5 linked regions of the Neurospora crassa OR74A genome follow. The main gene of each other region encodes a partner of the protein of the gene in region 4 in a complex. Links are inferred from orthologs where the notes say so. Each region holds a gene or a part of one and is shown on either strand. Other genes may lie near its edges.

Region 1 (4,358 bases), on a different chromosome or scaffold from region 4:
TAGAGCAAGCATTACGGCCTCCTTTTGGAGTGATGGAAGAGACTACAGAACAAGAGCATAGTCATTTCGCTCTAGATATTCATGGTAACAGGCATGGTCGGACTTCTCTATAGAGTATTTTCTCGGTTTCCGACCTCATCTTACCGCTTCACATACCCAGGGTAAGAGGCAAAGGTCCGGCGTTGTAGAGGGCAGTTCTGGCATTCATTGATGCCTTGAACCTCATAATGGTAACGCAAATAAATGGTAGTTAGTCTTGTATTGACATTTCTTTCAATGATCAAACTTTGAGTTTCGGTACAGGTGCAATTGCCGCCGAGTATGATCAGTCCCTCGCCAATACTCCTGTCATTGAGCCCTGTCAGCTAGGATGGCGTATCAAGAGGTGTATATCACAAAGATGTGTAGCACAGTGAGCAGGCTGATTTTGTTCGAGCACCCTTTTTCCAATCTCTTCGGTCTCGTATAGTACGTCTCCCGATGACTTGAAGCGTTGTTCTCAATCGAATGTCAAAAAGAGGTTTGCATGTGTATGATCATATGAAATCGAGTTCTTTGTTTTGTAAGAGGTCATCCCTATTTCGAGGCGACCATTACCTCGTATTTTGAACATGGCCCTTTCTTACCCCCAACTCCTGTCTACAGTATAAGCTAGTAATTGCGTGATGCCAAACCACCCACCCAAGCCAGAACTCCTTTTTTCAATGCAAATGTTGATCCTGCCCTGCCCACAGATGTAAAAGTTTTACGATGCAAGACCCCATCGCCTACCCATTGCATCCACCCACAAGAGGTACCTAGGTACTTGGGTTCATTCCAACCATACTGAACCACCCCCGAATCCAAACCACCCTCTCTTACAAACCTGCCCCTCTTACTCCCCCTTCTTCCGACTCTTCAAATAATCCCTCAACTGCTCATGCTTGCTGGCAAAAAAGAGCTGCCTCTTATCATTCTTCCACACTAGTACGCCAATCTCCTCCGCATACCTGCTCAGCGCCGCGTACTCCTCCGTGCTCTCAAAGTCCTTGAACAAGAAGCCCGCCGTGGTCTGCATCCTTTCGTTCTCCAGCTGCCAAAGCCTGATCTGGTCCACCACCGTCGGGGGAAGCACCGGTTTACCCGTGACCGTGGCTTCGCGCACCATTTGTTGATGAGCATGCGCGTGTAGGTAGGAAATGATTTGGTCGGCGGTGATGCCGAAGCCGATTGCTTGGCGGATGGAGTCGCGGGTTAGGCGGCCCGAGACCATGTTGGGGAAACGCATGTTGAGCTGGCAGAAGAGAGCCAGGACGGCGATTTGTAGCGGGGAGGTGGTGTAGGCGTAGATACGATAGTTGGTCTCGATGATGATGCCCTTGGCTGCTGTCTGTGTTTTGTCGGGGGTGGCGGCGGGGCCGCCGCTGGTGCTGGTCGTGGTGCCGGGCTCGCCCGAGGGGTTGGCGGTTGCGGCCGTGAAAGCCGAGGAGACGGTGCGCAGGGCCGAGGCGGTACTGGTCAGTGTGGTGGCCAGGCGGGTAGGGAAAAACTGGCGCGTGTCGCGCGGGAAGTAGATGAGCCCGAAGTCGACGAGCGAGGGAAGCATATTCCGCCGCGTCTCGGTCAGGGCCGAAGTATCGTAGGCAGTTCCAAGCTCAAGCGAGCTGAGCATGAAGAGGAAGGAGAGCATGTCAATGCTGTCCATGCCCGAGTCGGCCGTGTGGTCGGCTGCTTCGAGCCAGAGGAGGAGGAGCGTCCATACTTGGGCGTTGGACTCCTGGAGAAGGAAGGTGAAACCGGCTTGCGTAATTCCGATTCCTGTACGGGTGTCTGGACGTCGTTCGACGAGGCGTCCGGCCAAGAGTAGTTCCTTCACACTGGCCTTGGGTCCGCTGACCCCTTCTGAGCTGCCGTGGACCCCAAGACTGTTGACAACGTAGTGGAGGATGTCGTCCCACTTCTTACGAGCGTACCTGTCCAGGTAGGCGATGTCGATGGAGGGATCGACGGGAAGAGAACTAGGGACGCCAAAGCTGCCATCTTCGCCGCCCCCTTCGAAGGCTAGTTGTAGGCCTTTCTTGAAGCTCGCCGTGATTTGGATTTCTTGGGTTCGGTCCTTGCTTGGTGGTGAGACCTGTAGGATGTGGAGGGATCGGAGAGCGGCAATGGTGCGATCGCGATGTATCTTTCCGCCGCCCTCTGGAGGGAACCATATGTCAAGGGAGGTTAACGGGAATGGGTCGGGCATGTACAGTAGACCTCGGACAATAACCTTGGCTATCGAGGGACAAAGGAGTTAGCTACATGCTATAGATTCGGCGTCCAAGACTTCGGTATCTGACTCGAGGAACAATTGCATACCATGATAAGACAGCATACGGCGGAAGATGGCCAAAGCTGTCGCTGGTGACTGGTACAGTCTCCTAAAAGCTGTACCTGGCAGCTTCTCCAAGTACTCGAGGAGCTGTTGTCCGCCGAGTGACATGGTGGATAGACGGGCGGGCACAGCGGGCCGCTAATAGAGATTCGTTATCGCTATGTGAATGGCAATGTGAAAGGTCAAGTCGAATATTCGGTAAACGTAGTGCTTCGAATGTCGTCAAGTCCAGATGGCTCGTCGAGAGGATCACGATGTAATGCTACTGGTTGACTTCTGCTGGCAGATATGGGGACCAAAACCAACTTCTAGGTGGAAAGTGTTATATCGACGGAAGTGTGATTTATGATGAATCGAGTATATGTTTATTCGGTAGGTACCCAGGGAATCGAGCGATAATGGTGTAGCCGGTGGCACTTGTGGGTGAAAGGCATAAGGTGCAAAAGAAGACCTTGAAGGCTGTTGATGATCATTGCGTTGTACGCGCGCGAGGATAGGTTGCCTGCCCCGTGGTGCCCTTGCAGGTGGTCACCAAGCATAAGTGGGGACTTCGGACCCTCGTGGCAGGCACTACCAGTCCCTGTTACGACGTCACCGTTCCACTGTCCGGCATTTGTCTACCGTCTCCCGGGTCGGCCAGTCTGCTTCTAAAGCCACTGTAACAGCGCCTGTCCCGGGTGGTGATTTCCGGCATTCACAGCAGTGTTCCGTCCCCAAGTCCACCTAGAGGTAGTCCAGACACCGCATCTGAAGCACACCTCGTGTATCCCTCTTACATCGTCTCCTATTTCGAGGTCAACAGCAACAAAAAAATGGCACCCAAGCTTCCACCAGCGAGATTCGTGAGATCGGTTAGTTCAGGAACTCATTTCACAGCTGCATTGACTCGGTTGCTTACAGCATGTTAGGTCCTGAAGTCGTTCATGGCCGAGTCCGGCCTTGAGCCGAGGTAAGTGATGACACATCACCATGGTCTGTCAAGAAGAGATCAAGACATGAGACTGACCAAATTTTACAGACTCCTCGGACCTCATGTAGGCAAAAGACACCACAAAATTCCATGGATACAACGAACATGTAACTGATATGACCAAACTAGCTCCGGGTAACCGGTGCCACCGAAGGCAAGGTCGACTTTGAACTCGACATCACCAAAGACCACACCAACCGTCTAAAGATCATCCACGGCGGGACCATCGCCAGCATGGTTGACCTTGGTGGTTCTCTGGCTGTAGCCTCGAAAGGACTCTACGCCACCGGTGTGTCGACGGATCTGAACGGTATGTTTCCTTCCTTCCATGAGATTGATTCATGCCTACTCGGACAAAAGAACTCCAGCCCAGTTATGTGCTGCTTTCCGCAAACACACAATACTAAAATGTATATGAAAAAACTCAGTTACCTACCTTAGTAGCGGTGGGAAAGTCGGCGAGAAGATTTCCGGGACCGCTGTGTGTGACAAGAGTAAGTCTTTCTTCCTGCCCCTTTGCATCAGCAACATGAATTATTGACATGACTAACCTTCATCATCAACAACCAAACAGTGGGCAAGACTCTTGCCTACACCACCGTCACTTTCCGCAACCAAAAGGGCGAGCTATGTGCCCGTGGTAGTCATACAAAGTATGTCGCCAACGCCTGGAAGTCCCAAAATGGGACTGAGCTCTTCACGCCTCCGGAGGGAGCTGTGATTGCCGAGGATGATGTGGAGTAAAAGTCATGAGAGTCAACCTGGACATAGGTGCGTATGCATGGTGTACATAGAGTTGTTAGACCTCGGGCGAGTGGGCGATTAGCGATGTTACGTCTCTGCATTTTCATTATCCTTTCAACTCATAGAAAGATACCCTTAGAGTACCTGCTTTCGGTTTTCGCATTATTGGATTTGCTTGACGTTGAAGTTTGATTTGCACTTCAGCCGCTGTTCTTCATAAGGCACTCTGTTCGGAGCTTCCGTTCTTGATTGTCTGTGAAATACGGCAGAGCGCAACGAATGGAGCAA
Region 2 (4,092 bases), about 1.3 Mb from region 4:
TTTTCTTTCCAACTTTATCTACATGATGTAATCTGAGAATACCGGAACCTTCGTTTTGGAAAGTGTTAAGAGTCTGGTTTTAGATATCACACATCAGTCCAGAACCAGTTTGCTTTCTTGAAAATTTCTTAATGCTTTTTTTCATCATTGGTCTTCAGCCATAATTCCTAATGTGACTATAGTCAGTCTGTTTCTCCTTCTCCTAACCCAAATTATCCCAGCCTTACTGTCTTGTGGGCCATTTCTGTCCTCTATATATACTTGAAACTTTTTCTCGTTCATGGCAACGCTCCCAAATGTCATCCTCCTCTATCACTTCTCCTCTCATGAAAGTCATCCTCCCCATCTTCCTCCCGTTTCCACACAGCACAGCACAACATCCATCCCCTAACAACGCACCTCTGCCACTGTCTTTCCTCATATCTTCAGATCCTCCCACTTTTAACCATCTCCCAAACCGCCACAGCCCTCTCCAACCCGCCCACCACGCCCTCAAAAGCCGCCCACACCGCATCCCTGCCCCCTCCAACGGGAACCCACTTCGCCTTGCGGCCTGTCTTTTGATAATACTCTCTAATCTCCCTTTTCCGCTTCTCCATAATCTCCTGTCTCCTCTTCTCCGCTTCGTCAGCCAGCGCCTCGATTCTCTGTTTCGAGCGCACGAGCGAGTCGGCCAGGTAGGCCAATTCTTGCTGCTTTTCTGGGCTGCTGTTGCTGGAGTTATTAAACACCGTCCAGAACTGTTTCAGGAACTCGGCGGTCGTAGCGCAGGTTAGCGTAGCGCGGTGGGCAATGTCCGTCGGCAACGACATGGGTCGTTCTTCGGACGCATTGGTGGTGGTGGTGTGCGAGCCACCGTGGGTGGTGGTGGTGGTGAGGTGCGACCGAGCGGACTTCATGCTCTCGAGGATCTGGTTCTGGGCGAACCGTAGCGCAGCGCGGGAGCCGACGTGTTGGGGCTTGGGTCCGCTTTTAGAGTCCAGAGAGTTATTACCCTCGTCGTCAGAGTCGGGATCGACCCCGATGGACCGGTGGAGATCGATGCCGCCGCGCCCGTCCGAGTCGAGAGTGTCCATGTCCGCTTGCACTTCGAAGAGCACGTCCGAGGGGACTTGGGTGGCGTAGAGGCGCGCGTCGGCGGCTTCTTGGTCGGTGAGCGAGGGCTGGTTGCCTGTGAAGAAGGTGGAGGTGTCCTTGACGGAAAGCCGGATCAGCTGGGCCTCGGCGTCGCCACGGAGGTCTTGCAGGGCGAGTTGTTTGGATAGGGCGTCGGCGATGCCGTCTTTGGAGTAGGAGGCGGCGGAGGGGTCGACGTCTGTGGGGGCGACGTTGGCCATGATTTTCTCGGAGAGCGAATTGAGCGTTTTGATGATGGGGATGTTGGCGCGCGGACGCATCTCGACGTCTTTGAGGTTGCCACCCCTGAAGCCACCTTGGTTTTCTTCGTTGCCTTCGATGTTGATGATGGGGGGCACACTCGTGGCGGTGATCTTGGCTGGGACTGCCATGGTGTTGTCGGCTTCGAGATACTTGTCGAATAAGGGGTCGGTGTTGTCATTGTCGGTGATGCGCTCGCCGCGGAGCTTCTTGGAGAGACGGCTGAGAAAGAAGCGGGACCAGAACTCGGACTCTGTGAGCTTGGGGACGTTCTCGTTGTAGATGCGCTTGACCAGTGGGTGTTGTTGGAAGATGAGCTGGACCTGCTCATGGTTGATGTTCAACTTGAGCTCGCCGTTCTCGGTCCGGGGCTTGATGGTTGATAGGACGTTATATGAGCCCTTCTTCTGGTTCAGCTCGATGGCATAGGCACGTAGCAGGCTGATGCGGGTGGCCCAGAACTGGCTGTTGAAGGAGGCATCTGATAATGAATCTGGCTTGGACAGCTTTGCGTCGTTATATATATGGGCCAAGGCCTTATCCTTCTTCATGAGGGACTGCTGAAGTTCTACATCGGCCTTTAGCATGTCGTCTTCGAACCAGCGAAACGGCAAATGCTTCGAGTTCACGGCACTGGCCATGGCCATGGCGGCAGAGGCGCCGGCGCCGTTGGGGCCAGACTTTGCCGGCTTGGGTAGAGAAGGGTCATCGCCACGAAGCTCAGCAATGATCTGAGAGAGAAGATCCTTGATGGCATCGGCCTCATTCCTGGCCTCGGTGGCATGTGTGAACTGGAAGGGATAGGCAGCCGGATCGGCTCCGGGCGCCTTGGGTTTCTCGACGACTCTCAAGACGACCTTGGGATTCGTCTTGGGGGTCTGTTGGAGGTTTGTGATGTTGGATACGGAAAGTGAGATGACGGGTGGGCCAGTGCCCGGCAAGGGGCTCCATATCAGGGCTGTCTTGTCTGGGGTTAATGTGATGATGCCCTCTCTTTTTTTGTAAGAGGCCTGTCCCCGGGGAATCTCAATCGGGGCCATGTTGGCTAGGTAGTCCTCTCCCTAACCGCCCGTTGAATATCTCAAGTCCACGCTCAATGCCCAGTTCCCAATCTTTTGATGTTATAAAGACGGACCAGCCTCGCAATGTGTTCCTTGACAAGGATGTATTAACGCGATACGTATGTCACAGCGTGCTCGTGTACTACGCCTTACTGATATCGAAGAGAGACGGGAGAGTCGTCAAGGTACACGGCATTAGACGATGATGGACGTGGTGATGTAGTGTAGTAACGCCAAGCAAATCTAATCCAGGTCCCGTCAGTCTTGAATCCGGGGTGAGGCATTGGCTGCTGCGGATGTCGTTGCGGGATGGTGAGTGGGTGGTGAGTTTACATAGTGTAGTAGGTAGTTTATGCGTGGCAGGCAGGCAGGCGGCAGCTGAGGCTGCAGTGGAGCACGACTACTAACAATTCCATGGTCGCCCTGGGGCTGTTCAACTAGTGTAAAGAACTTGAACTTCAGGTTTCAGCTCGGGAAGGTTCCACTTTGAACCGACAGACAGTGTCACGGCAGCTGTCCACCCAGGTCGGATCTCTGGCCACCACAGGACCTGAGCTCTGGGCGACGAACTGCTGCAGGTGCCGTGGGTGGGAAATGCCAAGGATCTGAAGCCAGCGCAGAGCTTGGACAACAGCAACTGCACTGCAGCGAACCAGTCACGGCCAGCCAATGAGAGTTGGGGGATTTAACACTGTGACGTGCAGTCAATGCTGCAACTGGCTCAATAATGAAGAAGAAGTTGAAGGTGGCAGCTGACGATGCAGGATTTTGTAGTGAATTACACAATCGAAACCAACAGCCAAACCTCAAAGTCATTTCGATAAACCACTCGAGACGAGATCGAGACGAGATCTAGACTCGGTTCGCTTGTCTCTTCTTTGACAAAATGGATTTGATAAATGACTTTTGCAAAAGTCACATGATACTACGGCAAGTCACAAGGCGGTCAGTGCCAAGTAGCTAATTGAACCCAAACCCATAACCCAGGATACCGACCAGACCATGTCTAGCGCAGTTCCATCAGTTCGATGCCCCAAGCGAAAGCTTCGAAAAGTTCGCGCTCAAAGATGGGACCGAAAGCGTTACCGTACATTTCCACCTCGGACATGGAAGTTTTCCCCACTTTCCACGGTAAGATTGGATACTTGGTCCAAAAAGACGGGAACCGTGATTTCCGGGGAAAAGGGACTCGGGTCAGGTCTCGGAGCCTCCAACTCCAGTCTCGACGGGAGGTGCGGGAGCCAATGCGTAATGAAATAATTACAGTAGCACTCTCCAGACCGTAACTTCCAGCTCTTCCACACTTTCCCAGTTTGCTGCGTGCCCGATGACTTGTCATGGAGACACAGCTCCCGTCCCCCTCCTTGAAACCACAGAAACTCCACGACTTCCGGTTATGCTTGCTGTTACCGTGGTCACCGCTCGAACCGTGAACTCCGTCGTGACTTTTGGACAAACAACAAGAGGGAGGACGGATTCGAGTAGATGATGGATATGATATCTCTTCGTGTATTCCATTGTGTACGCTACTACGTATGGGTATGTAGCAGACTGAGCAGTAAATAACTGAAGGTAGGCGAGTTTGCGGCTATGGAGGTACCGAGAGAATCTCACATTGATGTCCCCTTCAAGTTTGTTGGGTCCCGGGCGTCTT
Region 3 (4,173 bases), on a different chromosome or scaffold from region 4:
GGTTTCTTCTAGCCCTGTCTCGCCAAAGCCCGACTCCTCTCCTTCTCCCTCTGCAGCTTCTTGAAGAAGGCGCTCTGCTCCGCCTTGGCGGCACCCTTCTTCTTCAACCCCTTATTCGCCGCCTTGTTCTGCTCAATGTACGCCATATCCTGACCACCACTGAGCTCGCCCAGGGTTCCAGCCATTCTCCGAACCGCCGCCGCTCTGCCCTTTGCGCCACCCCTTCCGCGCCCGACCTTACCAAACAGATCGTCCGTCTCGACATCATCCTCGGCGCCCTTTTCATTGTCGACCAGTGTGCGCTGCAGCAGCTCGCGCCGCTCCTGCGCCGTGGCGAAGGCCAGGTCGGGCGTGTTCTCGATGTTGGCCAGCTGCGTGATCACCTTGAAGGCGTAGCCCTGGTCGACCAGGAAGGCCTGGCGCTTGGACGAGTAGTACATTTCCTGCGTGTCTTTGGACACGAGTGAGTAAAAGAAGGCGTTGAAGCCGACGTCGTTACGGCGCTTGGCTCGGAGGATACGGCCTAGGCGCTGGGCTTCCTGACGACGGGAACCGAAGTGGGAGGAGATTTGGATGAGACAGGTGGCTTCGGGCAAGTCGAGCGAGGTGTCGCCGATCTTGGAGAGGAAGAGCGTGTTGACTTGCGGGTTGTGCTGGAAGTTTTCGAGCACTTGCATGCGCTCGGCTTGGCCGGTGCCGCCGTAGATAAAGACTTTATTTAGCTTGAGGGCGTATTGTTTTAGTGAGTACAGCTCGTCGGAGAAGACGATGATCTTGTCGCCGCGGGCTTCGTGGTAGTTGATCAGGTACTGGCAGGCCTGGAACTTTCGGGGGTTCATGGCGTAAAGAGTGCGCTTCATGCGCGAGTTGGCACGAAGATACTCGTCGTAGAACTCGGTGGGCATAGGACACCACACCTCTGCGCACTGGACCTTGGCGATGTGACCCTTTTCGGATAGCTCCATCCAGTTGGCCTCGTAGAGCTTGGGGCCGATTAGGAAGTTCAAGTGGGAAATCTTGTCGTCTTCTCTGAGCAGGGTGGCTGTGAGACCCAGCTTGGAGTGCGACTTGATGGAAGAGATAACTCTTCGGAAGACGTCGGCAGGGACGACGTGGACCTCGTCGAGAAGCATCAGACCCCATTCACGACTCTTGAGGAAATCCATCATCTTCTTGGAGTCGTGAGATCGTTCTCGGTTGTTGGTAACCATAGAATATGTAGTAACAATGATACCCGTATTACCAGAGAACTTGTTCTTGCTCTCAGCGGTAAAGACGGCAATATCGTCGGGGTTGATGTTGGACCACTTGAGGAACTCCTGGCGCCATTGCACGACGGACATACTGCTGGTACACAGGACGATGACACCCTTTTTGATGGTGCAGGCAGCCGTAATGCCGACCAAGGTCTTGCCTGCACCGCACGGCAGAACAATGATGCCACTCTTTGCTCTGCCGTTACCAAACATTTTGCTGAGACTCTGCTCCTGGTACGGACGAATCTGTGTGTTTGGTCGCAGATCGATTTCCAGATCCGCGTTATTAGAGTCGTTCCTGAAGTCGTACTCCTCCAAGATGGGAAATCCTAGGTCAAGACAGCGTCGTTGGACAATCTCGACGGCGGTTTCGGGGATCTCAAAGGCATGGACGGCGTCCTTGTCGTCCTCGTCGTCTTCCTCATTGATGGCTGCGTAGAGGTCTGCCTCGTTAGTCGCCGCAGCGTCCGCGGCCCCATCCTCGGCAGTCTTCTTGTTGCCAGACTTGTTGAGGCCTGCCTGGTTCACACCGGCGGCATCTTTGGTGCCGGGGATGACCAGGCCGCCCATGGTGGGCGCATAGGAGGTGGTAATATCACCGGAGCCCTGGACACGCCACTTTCCGATTACTTCATCGCGGAGCAGCTTCTGCAACAACTCGGCATCCGAGCTTTCTACAAAGTACTTGTTGTTATTCAGCACGAGTTTCACCTTGCCGTAGCTCTTTGTGCACGACTCAATGAAGAGACGAATGGACTCGGGCAGGGGGGTCTTGAGGAAGCGATCCAGGGTGTCTATAATATCCTTTGACTGCAGGCCAATGGACACACCAGCGTAGAGACTGTGGGCGGTCAACTGATACTCATGCAGGAAATGCGGCCGTGACTTGGGCTCGGCAATGGTGACGAGGAAGTCGGTGACGCGGTCGGCGTCCGGGCTGAACTTCTCGAGTATGATGGTGCCCTTCTCCGGGTCGATCCACAGCGGCTTCTGGTCGTGGTCGGGTTTCAAGTTCAGATACGAAAAGTCGCGTTTCCCGCTGCCAAAGAACTGGGTGGCGCCGTCACGATGACTGCCGCCACCGTCCTGTCGGGCCTGGAAACGGCTACTATCGACGGCCCATGTATTGACGAACTCGTCGGCCTCGCGGGCAATCACCTCCTCTTTCCTCTTGATGACCTCGTCGACGTCGTCGTCGTTCAAATCATCATCGCCGTCCGACTGGAACGAGCTCTCGAGGCTGCGGGGAGTCGCGGGGCCGGGAGTGGACAGGGCCGAAGTGCGGCCAGCTTTGGCAACGCCGGCCTGGGGGGCGCCGACCGCTTTTCGCTTGGGCGGCATTATGTGTATGACGAAAACGTGATCTCCTTTCTTTCTTTCTTGTCTCTGCTCTGTTTTATCTATTTCTAGCAGTTTCAGTTCTAGAAGGATGGATTAGCAGGCGGACAAATGAAGAATGCCAGTGCAGTGGCAAAAAAAGAATACAAGGTTGAAAGGATGGGAGTTTGAAATGGATGATGAAATTCCACTTTGTCTTTTGTACGCTACGGTAGATACCTGGCTCTACAAGCAGAGGTATTGTAGGGTACAAGTACAGCAGGCCTAGTTTGCTTACACTGCGGTTCCTGTCCTGTTATGGAAATTGTTAAGGCGATACCGTAGGAGCCGGGCGCCCGAGCCGCTGTGACAGCAAGGCCGACAGGGGCCAGACACGCTAGTTTAGTCATCAGCCACGCTTATTTTGTGGGGAAGCGAGTCTTCTGGAGCCAACCTGGAAGTGGAGGGAACCGTTCGGCGTTCAGTGCACTCCCTCAGTTGCAGGCTCCACCCGTGTCACCCGCTGTCCAGTCCGAAAAGCACCCCGCGTTGAGTGGTGGTCGGGTCGGTTCTGGTCTGGGTGGGTGGACGAAGGGGGGGGCGACGGGACGACCGCGTTAAGTGCCGTGATAAAGTTCGGTGAACCCTTTTTTTTCCGGACGTGAACATTGGCGATCAAGGAGAACGAAGCGACGTCGAAAGAATCTTGGTGTCGTACATACCACATAGAACCCAACAACGACGAAATATCATAAAATCAGGGATCAGAACGAGCCATCTACACTATCTACCTCTCTGCGCATAAGTAACCTCTTCCTGTCTGTCATCATGTGGTAAGTAAACTCCCACCTGCCATGCCATGACCTGACACTTCGGCATGCCTTCTACTTATGTTCCCCTTGTTTGCTCGTGTAGACCACTTCCACGAACCACCTGCTAACTAGATCCTCTCCCATCCAGTAAACACGTTCTCAATGCTCAAGTCTCCATCCGGTCACCATGCTGTACGTAACCTCAGTCTCAAATAAACGAACCACCACGATTCCCTATTACCAGTATACAACGACAACAACACCGAACATCGCAGCCATATAAACATGACCTCTAACTCTACACCCACCTCCTACGCAGGCCGCAAATGGTTCGACTGTCCCGAATGCCACGCCGAGTCCGAGTCGCACCCCCTTAAGAAGACACTCGAGATGACTTTTGCCTGCAAAAAGTGCAAAAAGTGTTTCCGCAAGGATGCGACCGAGTTCGAGGATTCCGACGAATACTGCCCGCACTGCGACAACCACTACATCATCGAGGCCGTGACGCCCAAGGCTGCTCTCAGGGTCGAGGGCGAGGATGCGAGAATGGATGCGCGCATGCTCAAGGACGAAAGAGTCAAGCAAACGAAGAAGACCATGAACCAGATCTCGATATTTGACCCGGATGTGGACGCTGATAAGCTTGGTTGAGTGGCTGGGCTGTTGGAGTTGGAGTTGAAGTTGGAGTTGGAGTACGGAATCACAACGCAGCGAGGAAGGGAAAAAAGAGATACCATTTAGAGAAGCATATAATCAAACTGGGTGGCTTGTTGTCACTCACATCATAT
Region 4 (4,192 bases):
CGCAAGACGCGCCCCAGACACTGCGCGGCGTGGCGCATGGCGTCGAAAGAGAGAAAGTCGTTTTCGCGGATGCGGTACGTTTCGCGCAGGAACTCCAAGCGGGCCTTGAGGATGCGCGACTCGGTGTACTGGAAGGGCACGCCAATACAGAGCACGGTGCGGCCGTACTGGTGGTCAAAGTCGATGCCTTCGGACACTTTACCGCGCGCGACGCAGAGCAAGATGGCGCCGCGGCCGTTGCAACAGGCGGTGCGGTACGTCTCGAGCGCTAGCGAGGTTTCTTGCGCGTCTGGGGTTTCGACCAGAATGAGTTTGTGCTTCCACACTTCGTCGAGGATGCCCATGCCTTGCCACATGGAGATGATGGATTCCATGTACAAGTACGAGGGAAAGAAGACGACCATGCCGTCGGGCGTGATGCGGGCGAACTCGGTCAGGAGATTGCCGTAGTTGCGCACGACGCTGGGCTCGTTGCGGACTTGGAAGGAGGTGGAGATGGAGGCCTGGTCGGAGCCGCGGGTGACGATCATGGGGAGGAAAGAGCGGCGGGCGAGGGTCATGGCGTAGGATTCCTGCACGACGGTTTCGAAGTTGAGCATTTTGGGGTACATTTCAAGGGGGGAAATGGTACCGGAGGTGATGATGACGGAGCTGAATCGGTCGAAGACGGGCTTGATGGCGATGGCGGCGTCGAGGCAGGTGAAGTGCAGGACTGGGTTCGGGGTCTTGGCCGTGTCGGATTCGTAGGGCTCGAGGATCAGTAGGAAGCCCTTTTCGTAGGTGGCGACGAGGGTTGCAAAGGTGGCTACTTCTTGGAGTGGCCGGTAGTCTTCAATGTTGGTGAGCTCGAGGGTCCGTACTAGCGAGGTTAGACGCTCGGCGCAGAACCGGAGCGGTTTCTTCTCGATGAAGGTGTATTCTTTCAGGTGGGCGAGGAAGGATGGTGGTGTTTCGGAGATGACCTGGCGGACCTTCATGCGGGTCTTGAGGTATTCGATGAATCTCCGGAGGAAGGCAACGAAGTGCTCGGCTCGCCTGATATTGCCGGGGACAGCCTCCTTGAGCAGATCGTCGGGTAGTGTTGGGTTAGCCATAAAAGCATCCTCCTGTCGCCCTTCATCTAGACCCTTGAGTCCTTCGACTAGCTTTTCGTACTCGGACTGAAGTTTCTCTTGATCAGAGTCCTTCATCTCGCTGATTTTGGCCTCCAAGTTCTGAGCACCCCTGGTTGCCCTCATCAGTGAGTCCTGGGTGATGTCGGTACTTAGAGACTCGATGCAGACGTTGTCGATGTTGTGAGCCTCGTCAAAGACGACGATGCAGTCCTTGGATAGATCCTTGGACACGCGCTCGGCGATCTTGGGGTCTAGGAGGTAGTGATAGGAGTAGATGATGACGTTGCAGTGTTGCATCTACATATGAGCTGTTAGTATGTATGGCATCTCGAGCTATTACATCCGCATCCTGGGGTGTTGAGAAGAGACCTACCATCCTCCTGGCAGTGAAATAAGGACACTGTTTCTTTTCCTCGCCATACCTCATCAGGCCATCCAGTGTCCAAATTCCGTTAGGGATCAAGTTATGCGGTTCTAGAAGGTCGAGATTGTCGTGGTAGACGCACGTCTCCACATTCTCCCCCTTTTCCCTCTTCTCCTTGACGAAGCCGGCCGTCAAGCTGCGACACCTCGCGTCGACAATGGCACCGCTCTTCTCCCGCTTGACCGAGGGATGCAGACACAGGTTCTTTCGACTTGTCAGACCGAGACCGCGAAACTCTTCTTCGTGCCCCAGCCGCTCGGCTCGGAACTTCATGAGTGCTCTCAGCTCAACGAGGGCCTTTTCGATTTCGGACATTGTTCGCGAGCAGTAGATCAGCTTCCGGTGCTCTGGGTAGTATTGCTGGTAGGCGACGATGAGTGACAAAAGGGTGACGGTCTTGCCGGTGCCCGAAGGCATTTCCAGGACACAGTTCCCGCCTGCATCGAGGGTTTCTGTGGGGAGTGGTGGTGGTCAGTGGACGTGTGATGAGTGTGAGCTATTTGTTGAATGCTCACTTTTCAAGTCCACCATGTACGCATATTGTTCTGTGTAGTCGGTCTGTCAGCACTTGTGATGGTGTACCAATGTGGATGAGCTCACATACCTGGATATATCCTTGGGTAAGGAAACAGAACTGGGAGATCGCTGTTGTTTGCCGGCAAGTTAGTTATCTGGTTTTTTACAGACCAAGAACGCGAACGCGTCATCTCGGATTTGGCTCTTACTCGATGTTGAACTCCATGGTGGGCGTGTAGTATCACGGCCTTGGATACACGGACAAAGGGAAGGAATTACGAATGGCTGCGCGGGCAGCAGCAACGTTGATGAATGTTCTTGCTGGTTTTACTATGTCGCAGAATATCTAATCGACGCGGGTGTCCGGATGGAGAAGTGCGACAGGGCTGATGCTTAATATGGTCGTTTGATGTTCTATTTCGATGTTTGGTTTGGTGAGAAGCGAGAAGTCGTGAAATCGAGGTCAACTTTTGGCATGTGTCTGCACGCTGGAGCTTCTATCTTGGGTCTTGGCGGGGGCAGTCGTTCGTCTGTTCTTCGGTATTCAAAGGGGCCTCCTCCCTTGTCTCAAGTATGCAGCCTCAGGTCTTCCCCTAGACCGCGTATCTCTATTATTATGGCTGTTTGTATTGCGCTTGTTGTTGTATAGATTTGTGAAGTCGAGAAAGCACGTGCCAAGGTTGCCTGGCGGTGGCCTGTGGCGATCAGCTTCAGGACAGGATCTCGGTGGATTTGATGGATCAATGATGTGCTGTTTCTGGGAATCCGGATCTGGCACAAGGTCAGGTACGGTGATACTTTTACGGTGAGCTGCTGCCGGTCCGGCACGCTTGTTGCCGGCCCGCTGATGCCGGATTGACTGCAGTGAGTGTGGACCCCCCACACGCACAGTCTTTCTCATAGTTCAATTGCACTGTGGCCTTCACATTCAAAAACGACTGGAACACCACAACTTCATCGTCACTTCCACTTCCTCAGCAGCCTCTATATTCATATTTCCTTTGCGCACACTCGCTTCCATGCTCAAAAACTGGTGCACAGGCCGCGCTGATAGAGGTAGTCCGTCTTCTCTTAGTGATTGCAATGCTTCAAGTCTACAGCAATCGGCGGACTTGGAATTTCCTCGGATTCGGATTATACGATAACTATCAGTGTTGGTACTTCCGCGCTCAGTACGAAGGATCGCCATCTTGCCGATTATCTATCAGTCCATGGGTCTTATTCAAAAGGAAGATTAAAAAAACGACCGATGGAAAGACAGGTCCTTCAAAGTAGCGGGAAAACGAAAGCGCCAAAACAAGCTGCAAGAAGGGAGAAACCTCATCATCTCAGACGCTTGAAATCAACGATCGGGAGCAAATAGATTAATTCCACCTCTCACTTCAATACCGTCCGTGGAGTACCACGGCGATCCTCAACACTTTCATATCTCTCAGTCACACATGCAGTATCTCAGCATAACCTTTATGTGGCTGTCCCGTAGGTAGTTGTTGGAATCCAAGAGCTCAAAGTTCCCACATCGACTCGGGAGTCACCCACCACTCTTCATGGAACGTCAACTGACTGCCAGGTACATATTCCACTTTGGGTGGTGACTTTGATACCCCGACTCTCGTATGCCACCACCGGCGGTTGTTGGCGCATGAGTGAATACGAGCAGCGACTGTCACGATGGAAGAAAAACGGGGCTCATCAAATCGCGGCGGCGGCGCTTGTCTGCTCATTACTACTTAACCGCCGGTTTGGAGCAGCAGCAAAGTTCCCAATTCCAAGTAGGTAGACTTCCGAAGGATTCCCAAACCCCGCCGCGCGGTTGCGATCCTTCGCCCCGGACTTACTTCCATATCTACACAGAGGTACTCAGGGTGGGTGCGTGGTGATGGGTGTATGTAGGTAGATAGGTAGGCGCGCCCTTGCTGCCGTTGAGTCTAGATCGGGGCGAGGGAGGGAGGACGGAGGATTTGAATCGACTCCCCGAACGCCTCCTACTTGCATCAAATCGGCTGTCAGAGGTGAGTAGGTACCTTACCTAGAGGTAGGTAGCCGGGCTGGTACTTATAACTTGTTTTAGACGCCGCTGCTGTGGCCGTCAGAACTTTAACTGACTCCTCTTCCCTCCTCTACACGGCGGTGATGA
Region 5 (4,204 bases), about 670 kb from region 4:
ACTTGTTTGTGGTTTCGATATGGCTTCAAACCGAGAAGTAGAGCATGAAAGTAGCTTTGGCATAGTTATGCAAATCATGTGATGATTTTGACACGTGCTTACATAGTACTTTGTCATTCTGAAATCAGCTATGTGAAATTGTAGGTAATGAGCGAATTCACGGTGGTGTATTAGCTTCGAATGAAAACGAGGGGTTGAAACATTTTGTTGACCTGTTCATAAATCGCCAGTCATGATCGCCCAACAAGTTCCTTTCGCATTCTGCTCTTCACTCGTTTTTCACCACGCACTCCTACCTACTTGCATATAATTTGTCCGATTTGTTCAAGGGCAGGATTTTTCCTTTATCGGAACATCACCGGAACCGTGTAGACATATGAAGATTAGCTATTTTAGTACGCTACTTGATGATGCTGGTATGGTCTCAAAATCTCACATTGCCGTATCACTCCACATCTATGATTCGTTGCGTGCCCGTCCTCTCTTTCCCCTCGTCACAAGGGACTCTACCGATACGCAAAGAGTCTTCTTGATCATTCTTCCATAACCATATCCGTCTCCCATCTCCTTCACAGATGCGCCACACCCAACGAATCGTCTTCTTGAATTCATAGGACCATTTCACATCTGTTGGATCCCGTCATTTCTTTAGCCCTTTCGCTAGTATCCCTTTGCACTGCCTTGTTGGTAAAGAGCATGAAGAAGCCATGACCCCGTCGTCTCTAGTTATTCGGCTGGTGTCCCTTACAGCTTTGGTTTTGGGAGTTCCACTTTGGACTTTCTTCTTAGCCAAGTCGTCTGGGTATATTTTGATCGTGATGCCGTGTATATTTTCGTGTTCTTTGCAGCGCCAACCCCTCCATGTAACAGATATGTTCGCCATACCCTTAAAACTGCTCTGTTTCGGGTCATCGTATCGTTTTCGTTCACGATACCATACTATCGATGCTCTTAACCAGAGTGGCCGGTTCGGTTCCGCCCGAAGAATCTGAAACGTTCAAGCGGAGCGGCTAATTGTTGTCCTCCATCTGCCGCCATTTGTAGCATGCTCCTCACTCTAGGAATCCATCACCATGGGTGTAGGGCCACCGTCTGGTACTGCTACTGCCGTATCCTTCTCCACATCCCTCGTATCGCTCTGACACCCAGGACAATTATGAATAGTCTCGTGGGCAAAGACATCACAGTCTATGCAAAAATGATTTCCGCATACCTGGCAAGCATACCGCCCGCTTTCGCTGACACCCTTGAGTTCCGGTTTTGGATTTTTCTGCTCGCCGTCCTGTTGTTTCCCGCTACCTTTAGCTCCGGCTCTCCCTCCTAACACAGCTGGCGCTGCCGCCACTGAATCCCTTGGCCTAGCAGGAAAGGGTGTCAGGCACGAGTAGCACGCCGTCGACTTATACGCCTGAGACCACGGAACCTCCACAAACACCTTGAGCGGGAACAGATGATGGTACGACCTCGCCAAGTGCGTGCTCTGGATGAGCGTCAGCTTGCAGATCGGACAGTCGATCGGCAGCCGGCACACTTTGATTCCGCAGCGCGGACAGGTGTACCCCTCGCGCGTGGGCTTCGCGTGGCAGGCGCAGAAGCTGACATGGTCTTTCGGAGCAAGCGTGCGGCTGGGAAAGCCCATCATGAGCAGGCTGGCGGTGTTTTGCTCGGGCGTGCGGGTGACGGGCGGAGTGGTGGCGGCGAAGAAGAGCTCCTTGAGGTGCACCTCGTCTACGGCGACGCTGTAGTTGCCGTCGTGGTTGTTCGTCCGCTTGCAAAGCTCGCTGCAGATGGCGACTTGGCCGGCGAGGCCAACGACCGAGACGCGGATGCGGTCGGCTACGAGGTCGTTGATGGTGTCGTGTATGTCGCCCGGATCGATTGAGACGAGGGCACCGTAGATTATCAGTATTTCGCGCGTGGCATGTGACGGCGTTTGACTGTACAAAAACATGAAGCGGTTAGCGAATGACCTCTGTCACGGAGGGGGTGGGCCGTAGCGCTGACTATAGAGCACCTCGGCACATTTGAAGTGCATTCTGTAAACTCGGATTTCCTTGGGGGTCTTGTTGCTCGCTCCATTGCATCAACTTTTCGATGTGCTCGGCCGGATTCCCGCTCAGGTCGCTTATTCGCACAGCAATTCCATCGCGCATTCCCACGATGCCTAGCTGACTGATGGGATTCTGCTCGAAATACTCGCGTACGAAGCCAATGGCGTTATTTAGGACGACTCGGTAACGGTTTGGTAGCAGATCTTTGTCGGCCATGGCGAAACTCATGTCGAGCACAAGCATCAGATGGCGGATAATTCCACGCTGAAGAGGTGTCGTGTCGCGCAGAAGGCGACGCCGCTTCTCGGCCTCCCGAATCTCTGCGATGGAGAGGCCGCTGTCCGCTGTTTCCAAGACGGTATCCCAGGAGCGCTTAACATCTTCCCATGACGCCTTGGTTTGCTTGCTGCGCCCGTCCGCTGTCCTCTTTCCATGCCTCTTGAGCTCATCGTCGGAGGCGTACTCGCCGTCCGAGTCAGCCATGTTTGCGTATGTTTGTCGGGATAGTTTGACGGATAGTAGCTGGCGCTCTTAGTGGGAGAAGCTCGAGGGTCACTTCGAAACGAGTGGAAGGTTCAGAAGTTCGATAATCAGGGCCTTTAGTCGTGTTCGTGTAGACAACTCCCTGGTAGGTGTTGATCGGGAGGCCGGGTACTGGTTGTCGCGCTGAAAAAGTGCCGGAGAGAAATAAGAAAGAATGGAGAAAAGGGGATACGCGACGACGTTGAATGCACAAGCTGAACAAAGGTTCGTGGTGTGTGGTGGAAGCCGGAAATGTTTACTGGACTGCAAGGCTGTTCCCCAAATGCGCGAACTCGTGTATGTAGGCAGCCTCGCAGGAAGAGTGGGGCCTGTGAAATCGAATCAGATCGGTGCTGGGTACCGACATCTCGTTTGTGTAACTACGGGCCTCGAAATTCGACAGCGAAATCTGGTTCCACCACAACTTCAAAGCGAAGGTCAACTCTGATTTGAAGCTTGGTTACGAGTCACGACATTCAAAGGACGTGCATATGTGTCAAGTATATACTACATGATGTGCCCGCTACCCAGAAGGGCCACTGGATTGTCTTGAGGCGATGTAGGGCTATGCCTTCGGGGGCCTGCGACTTTCACATGCTTGTGCCCGGGGTTCACCAGACTGTTGAAGTAATCAAGAACCTCAAAGAGTATGTAGGCATACAAGGCTCAAATAAATCATGGATCGGTCGTCGTCGGTACTGCGGGGGTGCGTGATACTTGTGCGGTCAAATCGCTTGGCAAAATGGGAATCCCACGTGGAAAACGGCCAGCCAGGGAGTCCAACTGTCCGTTCCGGTCCGGATTCCGGGCACGGGCTCTCCCGAATTCTAGAGTCCAGACGACGGAATGGGGTCCACGGCTTTGATGTGTCCATATATCCGTTTCGGTATCGTGGTCCAATGAATCTGCAAGGTCACCAGCGAGACAGACACCGTATGGCGTGAGTCGCATGTTTCGTGATGTGGTGAAACAGGTAAACACCGACCCTTACCTTGAGCGAAACAACTGTCACAGTGCAGTGCACAACTAGCAATACTTACTGGAGATGGGGGAGAGAAGATCGAAGCTAATTACTGCATCGAGTTATGTACATATACTCGATGAAGGAATGCAGTAAGATGCGACCTTAAAGCGGACCGCGTACTTGGCGTGATGTGCCCGACAGAAGCTTCGTAGCGAGGTATTGTAGGATCGTGAAATGCGATGAAAGGTTGCGCCGTGGAGTAGCCTCGCCGTTAGTAGTAAGGCACATGTAGATGTGCCGGCCCCGTGCCGGCCCGTTCCAGCTCTGCGGTTGATCGTGGCTCGCCTGCGACCTACGCGCTGACAGGTGGCCAATAAGAAACGCCAACTGGATTGACGTTACGTCACGGCACCTTCGGCCGAGGTTTCCAAAGATCCCCGCTCACTGGTCAACGGCCAAGACTGACCTGTGCCGCCTCTGACGTAATACCTCAGCCGCTTGTATGGGCGCAATTGATTAACCAACTCGCGATCAGTCGTACGCGGTCGAAATTTTCACACAAAAAGGGCCAGATTGTTCATGGTCCTCCTCGGTCGCTGCGCCCAAGGAATGGTTTATTCGCCTCCAGGTTCTGTATGGGAAAGGGGCAGTATCGTGTACGCCATTT

Evidence for each region.
Region 1: NCU01625 (region 4) and NCU05523 share a complex: the UniProt entries of both Schizosaccharomyces pombe proteins name them as parts of the 7-subunit TFIIH core complex. The link is inferred for Neurospora crassa OR74A from reciprocal best matches to the Schizosaccharomyces pombe genes rad15 and tfb2.
Region 2: NCU01625 (region 4) and NCU05423 share a complex: the UniProt entries of both Schizosaccharomyces pombe proteins name them as parts of the 7-subunit TFIIH core complex. The link is inferred for Neurospora crassa OR74A from reciprocal best matches to the Schizosaccharomyces pombe genes rad15 and tfb1.
Region 3: NCU01625 (region 4) and NCU06438 share a complex: the UniProt entries of both Schizosaccharomyces pombe proteins name them as parts of the 7-subunit TFIIH core complex. The link is inferred for Neurospora crassa OR74A from reciprocal best matches to the Schizosaccharomyces pombe genes rad15 and ptr8.
Region 5: NCU01625 (region 4) and NCU01831 share a complex: the UniProt entries of both Schizosaccharomyces pombe proteins name them as parts of the 7-subunit TFIIH core complex. The link is inferred for Neurospora crassa OR74A from reciprocal best matches to the Schizosaccharomyces pombe genes rad15 and ssl1.

Annotation. Positions count from the first base shown.
Region 1 is NC_026506.1:1,624,945-1,629,302, forward strand, and holds NCU05523 (transcription factor tfb2), read right to left. Parts: upstream 2,813-4,358; 5' UTR 2,465-2,812; coding exon 2,341-2,464; intron 2,257-2,340; coding exon 875-2,256; 3' UTR 541-874; downstream 1-540. Other genes in the region: NCU05522 (PaaI thioesterase), read left to right, coding at 3,169-3,207, 3,265-3,305, 3,375-3,390, 3,456-3,636, 3,755-3,820, 3,901-4,070. UniProt on the Schizosaccharomyces pombe protein: Component of the general transcription and DNA repair factor IIH (TFIIH) core complex, which is involved in general and transcription-coupled nucleotide excision repair (NER) of damaged DNA and, when complexed to TFIIK, in RNA transcription by RNA polymerase II.
Region 2 is NC_026502.1:1,591,210-1,595,301, forward strand, and holds NCU05423 (hypothetical protein), read right to left. Parts: upstream 2,818-4,092; 5' UTR 2,418-2,817; coding exon 426-2,417; 3' UTR 112-425; downstream 1-111. UniProt on the Schizosaccharomyces pombe protein: Component of the general transcription and DNA repair factor IIH (TFIIH) core complex, which is involved in general and transcription-coupled nucleotide excision repair (NER) of damaged DNA and, when complexed to TFIIK, in RNA transcription by RNA polymerase II.
Region 3 is NC_026503.1:1,415,804-1,419,976, forward strand, and holds the start of NCU06438 (DNA repair helicase RAD25), read right to left. Parts: upstream 2,832-4,173; 5' UTR 2,598-2,831; coding exon 9-2,597; 3' UTR 1-8. Other genes in the region: NCU06439 (zinc finger protein), read left to right, coding at 3,402-3,406, 3,534-3,577, 3,705-4,036. UniProt on the Schizosaccharomyces pombe protein: Probable ATP-dependent 3'-5' DNA helicase/translocase. Binds dsDNA rather than ssDNA, unzipping it in a translocase rather than classical helicase activity. Component of the general transcription and DNA repair factor IIH (TFIIH) core complex.
Region 4 is NC_026502.1:2,932,213-2,936,404, reverse strand, and holds the start of NCU01625 (DNA repair helicase RAD3), read right to left. Parts: upstream 2,802-4,192; 5' UTR 2,282-2,801; coding exon 2,265-2,281; intron 2,185-2,264; coding exon 2,144-2,184; intron 2,085-2,143; coding exon 2,055-2,084; intron 1,992-2,054; coding exon 1,489-1,991; intron 1,413-1,488; coding exon 1-1,412. UniProt on the Schizosaccharomyces pombe protein: ATP-dependent 5'-3' DNA helicase, component of the general transcription and DNA repair factor IIH (TFIIH) core complex, which is involved in general and transcription-coupled nucleotide excision repair (NER) of damaged DNA and, when complexed to TFIIK, in RNA transcription by RNA polymerase II.
Region 5 is NC_026502.1:2,258,536-2,262,739, reverse strand, and holds NCU01831 (RNA polymerase TFIIH complex subunit Ssl1), read right to left. Parts: upstream 2,845-4,204; 5' UTR 2,535-2,844; coding exon 2,005-2,534; intron 1,938-2,004; coding exon 1,058-1,937; 3' UTR 357-1,057; downstream 1-356. UniProt on the Schizosaccharomyces pombe protein: Component of the general transcription and DNA repair factor IIH (TFIIH) core complex, which is involved in general and transcription-coupled nucleotide excision repair (NER) of damaged DNA and, when complexed to TFIIK, in RNA transcription by RNA polymerase II.